Xenopus tropicalis: one gene and its partner. The protein of the gene in region 1 binds, or shares a complex with, the protein of each later gene. Links are inferred from orthologs where the notes say so. Each region holds a gene or a part of one and is shown in the gene's direction. Other genes may lie near its edges. The genes, in order: gtf2e2 and polr2f.

The links.
Region 2: gtf2e2 (region 1) and polr2f share a complex: the UniProt entries of both Homo sapiens proteins name them as parts of the TBP-based Pol II pre-initiation complex. The link is inferred for Xenopus tropicalis from reciprocal best matches to the Homo sapiens genes GTF2E2 and POLR2F.

Annotation. Positions count from the first base shown.
Region 1 is NC_030677.2:83,811,745-83,815,449, forward strand, and holds the end of gtf2e2 (transcription initiation factor IIE subunit beta), read left to right. Parts: intron 1-1,722; coding exon 1,723-1,838; intron 1,839-2,228; coding exon 2,229-2,345; 3' UTR 2,346-3,010; downstream 3,011-3,705. UniProt on the Homo sapiens protein: Recruits TFIIH to the initiation complex and stimulates the RNA polymerase II C-terminal domain kinase and DNA-dependent ATPase activities of TFIIH. Both TFIIH and TFIIE are required for promoter clearance by RNA polymerase.
Region 2 is NC_030680.2:122,152,675-122,157,171, forward strand, and holds the start of polr2f (DNA-directed RNA polymerases I, II, and III subunit RPABC2), read left to right. Parts: upstream 1-1,454; 5' UTR 1,455-1,546; coding exon 1,547-1,566; intron 1,567-3,434; coding exon 3,435-3,504; intron 3,505-3,786; coding exon 3,787-3,917; intron 3,918-4,497. UniProt on the Homo sapiens protein: DNA-dependent RNA polymerase catalyzes the transcription of DNA into RNA using the four ribonucleoside triphosphates as substrates.

The DNA of each region.
Region 1 (3,705 bases):
ATGGATAAACATAGGGCGTTTAGGAGGAGTGACAAGGTGACTGACAAATGAGACAGAAAATCCTACTTTGTGGCAATATACAGCCTGTTTATCATCCCCTTTAAATTATCATTTTATTCTATATAGATCACTTGTGGTGCAACAAATATGTTGCTTTTCACTCTCCAGCCAATGATATGTCTTTGAAGCTGTGTCTGGTACCGCTCCCTCTCCATTCATTCCAGATGAATAAGATCTGCAGTGCTCAAAGCCATAGTTCACTATTCATAGGAATGCAGTAGCACAGGGTTACCTGCTTTATCCCCTACGCACAGGGTGCAGTATATCAGAGATAAAACAGCCAACTGCTTAGGCCGATAACTTCACAAATGTATTTCATTTTAATGTTTAGGGGAAAATTCAGAGTGATATCAGAGAAGCTTGTCTCTTGCCCTTACTTCAGACAGAGTGGCTCCAGAGATCCTGCTTCCTTCGTTTGTTTAACAATGCTACATTGTGGCTGATAAATGCAATTTGAACAAGCTGCTTCTAGATCCTAATTTGTACACTTATTTCTAGTGATATGACAAAATGCGATGTGAAAATCTGAAATGCAAAATATTTTGATTTGCGTTTTTACCACCAATTTTATTTCAATGTAAAGTAATGCTGTTGCCAAGAAATGATTTTATGATACATTTGGACACCATCAGAAGTCATCAGCACTTAAACTAAACCACATAGTAGAGTTGATCAGCTGCTACAAGCACCCACACGCCAGTACTCGCTACCACCTATACCAGTGCACAAATGTTATACTTGTGCATGCCCATACATTTTATGATAGAGTGAGAAACTGGGGTTGTTTATATATTCGACTGGACACGTTAACTGCAGTTCTATTTTGGCAAATCAGGCTATCAGCTTACCAGCCTCTGATTCTTTTCTAAGGCCAATCACTTTCTAGCACTTCTGTCTCATATTGCTTGCCATTAGATATAATAGTAATCATGGTGATTAAAGCATCACCTCAGAATGCAGGCCTTCTAGTTTATAGGTCTTCTTGTGACATAAGCATATATTTGTATAATAGATAACCATAAAAAAATAACCATAACTTATTTATCAACTCCTACCGCTCTTGAGCTCAATCCATTATCTCTTCCTAAGTACCTCATCATCTTATCTCTAGTGTTGCTACCTTTTACTGTAATAGCAATATTGCCTTTACTTAAAAAAAAAAAAAAAAAAATATATATATATATATATATAATCTCCCACCCCCCAACACAAAAAAGCTGTGGTAAGCAATATTGCATACTTTATGTACATGTAAATGTATCTAAAATCTTATTTTTAAATTATGTGCTGCAAAACTCCATCAGCAATACAAATGAGTGCTAAGATGAGAAAAAGGTCATGAAACATCTGAATGACTCCTGCAAAGAGAGAGAAATTAATACCAGTCGGAATACTATATGAACCTTTTTAGATAAAATCCATGTTTTGTTGTGACTCCTACCTTTAGAAGCTGAATGGCACTGTTTTTCTCCATTGATCATAGGTGCTGTGGTGGGTCCCATTCATTATATCAGCTCAGCCCTTTTATGTAGGTGCATATAATGGGTTTTAATGATGGAGTGCAGAATGAACTAGGTGTAGCTCAGATGAGCTCAAAATCACCTGTGAATAAATACCTTAGTTGTCCTGCATGTGTTCTATTAAGAATTTACTTATTCTTAGAATTTCAGAAGTTATGGAGGAGTGTCCCAGTAGATTCCATGGACGATGAGAAGATTGAAGAATACCTAAAAAGGCAGGGAATTTCTTCAATGCAAGACTCTGGACCAAAGAAAATTGTAAGAGAGCCTTATAATTTGTGTAAAATACCTTTCAATCTGTCAATTTTTCTACAATAGGAATATTGTCCTTAATCCACACTTACATCCTTAGGTTAATGTCCCACGGGGAGATTAGTTGATTAATCTCTGCTACTGCAGGCCACTAATCTCCCTGAAAAGCCTTCCCAGTGGCAAGGAAACTTTGGGCGATTTAGAGATGTGTATGCCTTCCCATTGGTGGTTTACATTATTGCCAGTGGGAAGGCATGTCAGGGAGATTAGTTGCCCGCGGTAGCAGAGATTTGTTTTCTGGGTTGCAGTAGTTTTTATACTTGCCTTCGTGTTCCATAGTCTGTGCCTTGTTCTGCTATTTGCAGCGTTAACGCAATTTATTAATGCACATTTTAGATTCCAGTGCAGAAGAGGAAGAAAACTACTTCACAGAGAAGGAGGTTTAAGACTCATAACGACCACTTGGCGGGAGTGCTGAAAGATTATACAGATGGTGCTCCAGGCAAATCATAAAAGCATCAATTGGACTAAGGATGTTTACAGAGTATCTTCACTGCAGGATCTCCTTAGCTGCTCATCAACTCCAAACCTTGATAGTTACCTAATATTTCCCCTCACAGACTCAAAAATCCAGAATTACATTCTCTGGGTGTTAAAGAGACCATTTATTTCTGTCTTAGGAGTATTAAAGAATCAAATGTACTATACATTAGCTAAAAAAATATCCTAGAGCTGCCATGTCTCTGCCAGACACAGACCGATTGGCAGTTTGTGGAAGCCGAATATTGTGCTGGTTTTGCTCTGCTTAATTCTGTTCATTCTGATCCCCTTGTTGCTCAGATAAATATGTCTCCAGCATCTGATTTAATGAGTTTTGTGTTTATTGTATTTAAAGGGCAATTGTGCTATTTCAATAGCAAAAATAACTCTTTCTTTTGTTAGCCAACATAAAAACTTTTACGTACAAAATGGTTAAACCACTTTTTTTCTTTTGTTTTAATGTAATAAAGATTGTTTTCTTTTGAACCTTCTATAAACTTGTCTAAATTGGCACATACGTAATGTACCATAGCAAAAAGTGAACAGAAATGATATAAAGAACAGTGGTTCAAATTTGATTTTGCAAAATCCTGAATAATATATATTTTTAAAATAAATAGTTGCACACCTTTTTGGAAGTAAGAGTCAAGGAAGCAAATGGTACGTTAACATATTATGCTCTTTATGTAGTAAGTATTACAAGTCCTTTTGTCAAAGGGAATCGCCTTTACAAAGGACTTGGTTACGAAATGTTGGGGTTTCCGGGTATATTTGTATATATAATGTATATGTGTGTATGTGTAATTATATCAGTTGATGTTTGCTAAATCAAGGGTTCATACCCCCATATGAAACTAGTGCAACACCTTTAAGAAAATAAACAAATATGGGTTGCAGCTTTACAGACTGTGAAACTGCAACCTATTTTTATTTCTGTTAAGCTAAGTACCACTGTATCAGCATATGCCTGGACTTTTTAAATATATATATATATATATATATATATATATATATATATATATATGTATGTGTGTGTGTATATATGTATATATATATATATATGTATATGTATATATATATATATATATATATATATATATATATGTATATGTATATGTGTAAATTATTTTGTAAAATAACCAAGTCAGTAAGTCACTGTAATGACATCACTGAGCACCAATAATAACTGATGACATCACAAGTTATAAAGAGATATCTTAAGCCCTTATGTATTCCATAATATAGACATTGTTCCTCCCAGCAGTGTTGGTTTATATGCAGGGAAGGCCATCTCCCATAGATTCCATTATAATCAAATAATTAAAAAAATTTT
Region 2 (4,497 bases), on another chromosome or scaffold:
CTTAAAGGTGAACCATCCCTTTAAAACCAAAGGGAATTTCTAATTTGTGTATGTAGCCCACTTTATGAGATTCTGTGGCACTACCTGCTGACTTGTCTTTACTTGGCGCTACAGGAGTCCTGAGCCCCCGCTTACTATGGGGGTTAACAGGGATTTCTCCCTTAAATGGTGTGCCTCCACCCAGGGATGGTGTTGTGTAACTATAATCCACCCCCTGGGAACTTAATAGGTTGCTATGCCCCTCTTGGGACCCACGTACTCCTGGTGTAATACACTCCCTCTTGGAGTTATTCCTTACCAGCTTGGTAGTGGTCCTCTGGGCTTGGCAGATACTCACAGCAGACAACGGTGCAACGGTATATTAGGCAGATTCCTCTCCAGGAGTGGCACATATTATTGATACAGTGTGCAGGGCATATCCCCTTACTACTCATTGAGACTCTTTCTGTTGGACTACTCCACGGTACTCACGCCACGTGCTCCCCTCTAGGTGACCTTCCCGGTACTCGCGTCATGAGGCACCCCCTCCTGGAGCCCTCCCCGGTACTCACGCTAGAAGCCTCACCACAGGGACCCACACCGGTACTCACACTAAGCATCCTCAAATCCAAGCTCCTGGACTAGTGGTGACCTGGTGCACCTTCCCTAGCCACTTGTGGCCCTGCACTCCAGCAGATGTAACGCTGGGAGGTCTTAACCTCACTACCACTCCTGGAGGGGTCATGTCTGCCCATTTTAACCTATGGTGTCCTACATATCACTCCTGGAGTGATCTATTACCAAACTTCTATCTAAACTGTACCTGGGGTACTCCTGCCTGGAGCAGCCCCCAAAATGTCTGCCACTCAGCACATGGCTGCAACCCCTTATATGGGCCTATGCACCACCCTGTGGCCATAACCCTAACTACAGGTATACTCCCTGTTAACTATTTAGCACCCAGTCATCCCAATGTCCCTGATCACCACCCTGTGGCCTATCCTAGGGGTGTCTATCCTAAGGGCCCATTTTTGGTAAACCCCTACATGTATAACAGAAAAACTATGTTAGTGATTTCTCACCATTAACCATGGGAGTGCCAGGCATGAAAAGCTAAGCAGAAGCCCACGATTCTGCTTATAAAGTATATAGTCACATTAATGACCATTAGGTGGGGCTATTCCATACTAGTATAACTACACTATCCTGTCCCTCAGCTACATATATACCCATGCTACAGTCAACATACCCCAAATGCAAACAACATTAAATGTTTATTCTTGCACTAACCATAGTATTCATTATTGCCTATGTGTATATCTATACAAACCATCTCTAACCTTAATAAGCTGTCAGCACGCCAGCCAGCACCGGTCAGTCTGTATAACGAACACGAAACGCTCTCGCAAGTCGCGTCCTGTCTCCATGGGAACCGTACAAGGAAGGAAGTTGAGGGTTTAACGTTTCCGCTTCCTGTCTGTGGCCGTTCGTGACGCCGCAACGAACTTATCCCAGTGTGTGTGTGGGAAAAGCGAGTAGGTTCTGCTCGGTACCTAGAGCCGCTGCCATGTCGGACAACGAGGACAAGTGAGTCGCTTTGTATTGTTACTATAATAAAGGGTGGGGCGGTGATATTCACTGGGCAGGCCGACGGTACGGGCTGGGGGCTTCCTAGCTGCTAGTGCCATGTGGGAATGGCTCATACAGTGTCCCTTCATCTCCTTCCGCCCGGTACTAACACTGTAAGGGAACACTGGCCCCCGATTACAAGAGGGCGGTGTAATTGTTTATAATATATAATATACTGCCGAGTTTAGTCATGAAATCTCATTGTTTATGGACAAATTTTCCAGGTCATGAACCCACAAAGCTGCATAACGGTGTTATTCCCTGTACTGAATTATAAGCACACTCATTTACTAACGGGGGGCAAGTTGGTACCTAGGCGCTAATCCAGCAGGTCAGTGATTATGTTCTGCCATCAGCAGTTACAATAATGACAGCAAATGGTCGCCATGGGTTACTTACCAGCTGCTAATTTGCCCACTATTAGTAAATGAACCCCAAGGATGTTTATGCCAGAATCAAGAATATCTATTTCCAGACTATAATAGTAAATTCGCTTTCATACAGGTGGGGAGACGCTGCAGGGCAGATATGTAGCAGCCATTGCACCAGAATGATTCACTAAAATGCTGATCTTTCTGTGAGGAGTTACAGCTGAGTATTTCTGCCCCTTGGCACCATGTATATGTCTCAGTTCTATGGCCCAGCCACTCTCTGCGTTGCTTCTCATACATCAAATACTGTTTTATTTAAATGTACTCCTAATTATCACACTGCTTTTGGAGCCATGAGGCAGAATGGCAATCAGGTGTGTAGGAACAGGAGCAGGTTCCAATCTCATGGTGCCATATTGATAATAACTTCATCTGACATCCCAGTAATATAAAAAAAAAAAAAAAATTTTTATATATATATATATATATATATATATATATATATATATATATATATATATATATATATATATATATATAGGGAATGAGCAAAGAGCAACCTGTTTGTATGTGCCCATATGTGTGTCAAATACATATATCCCTGCAAACTGGTATCACCTCTGTCCCGGCATTTTTTCTTGATGGCACCATAGGTAATATAACAAATAAATATTTTTGATCTGTTAAATAGCAGCAGCACTTTTATGTACATTGAAATATAAGAGGGCAACATTTAACAGACCTTTTATTCAGATAAAGCTCTACGAAACTGTACCCAGGCCAGTACTCCCTACTTACAAGGGCTGATGCTCACATATCATAGTCATGGCTGTTGCTTGTAATTTGACCAGAAGAAAAAAAGCACAAGGGGTCGCTGTTAGAACTCTGTGCCCAGATTTCTTTCTAACAGAGTGGTCATTGTATAATGGAGGGGGCTCTATTTTCTGTTTTGGATGCTACTGTGACAGTGACTAAATTTGATTAAAACAATTGACTTTGGTGATATATTTAAGATAATTTATAGCAGTGTTGCATATCACTCTTTTATTTTTAATAATCTATAAGGTATTTGTCCATTCCTCTCCCTCCCCCCTGTTTTTTGGTGAATTTAAGTCCAAATGACCAGAGTTTATGGTGTATTTCCCCAGCAGAGGCCTTTTCCATAGTTACAGTAGGACACAACCTGTACAAGGCCTTATTTCCTAACAGCAGTCACATTGAAAAGTTCTACTTTGCATTTTATTACATTGATTATTTATCAACATTCTAGAAAAATATACAGTCCCATGTATTTTATTGCAAGTTACAGGACTGGCTACCATGGATGATACAGTAAGTATCAGTTATCATTATCAACTCAAAGTCTATTTTAAGCACCAAACCCTGACAATGTAGTACAGAAGGGAGGAAATTATGCCAAGAGTTGTTCACTTATGTATTTGTTTTGGTGTGCAGCTTTGATGGAGATGATTTTGATGATGTCGAAGAGGATGAGGGACTTGATGATTTGGACAATGCAGAAGAGGTAGGTGGTGTTCTTTTGTTCCACAACAGCCTGGTTTTTCTTTACTGAAATTGCAATAGTCCAAATAATTATTTATACTAAAAAGCTCAGCGCAAAATGGAAACTTCTAGGTGTTTCATATATATATATATGTATATGTTTTGTTAATACAAAATTTGTGTTCTAATATCTTACTGTTAATGTGGGTAAAGTAGAACTAGAAGACACAGACATTCAATGGACTACAACCAGAAGTTTTCCTTTGTGGTCTCTATGTAACAATTGGTGGGTTTTGTATTGCAGGAAGACCAGGAGAATGTGGCAATTCTTCCAGCTGGGGAAGGCCAGCAGGCCAACCAGAAACGCATCACCACCAATTACATGACAAAATATGAGCGGGCCCGTGTGCTGGGAACTCGTGCCCTGCAAATAGCGTAAGTAAAAGATTATATGTGATGGAAAGAGCACATTTCACCCAGCACTTTCCATGTGGACTAATGTGAACACACCTTCATTGTTACAATAAGAGCCTGTTCCTAAATATCACTTTAAATGAGAAGGAACAGCTAAATCACTAGGGGGTGCCACATGTTAGGCAGCCCCCAGTAATTGTAATTGCTTACCTGATACCCCCAACCGGTACTCCTGCACTGACTCGGGTAAATGCAGGCGAGCAATTATCTTCCTTCCTTCTCCTTTTGCAGTAATCCTGGGGCCCATGCATGCGTTAAAGTTTGGCTTTTCACTCTACTACGCATGCAAGAAGGATGAAGAGGAACACTCATTCGCTTACACCCTGGGCGGTGCAGTTTTCTGCTAACAGGAGTACTGGCTGGGGGTTTCTGTTAAGCTAACATTTTGACACCCCCCAGTGATGATGGTGATTTTGGTGATACTATAATACTATGATTATAGGTTATGTAGCACCGCAGTGCTTTACAGAAATTGTGCTTCAGTCACATCAGTTCCTGCTCAGTGGAGCTTACAGTCTAATTTTATCAGAAACCAATTAGT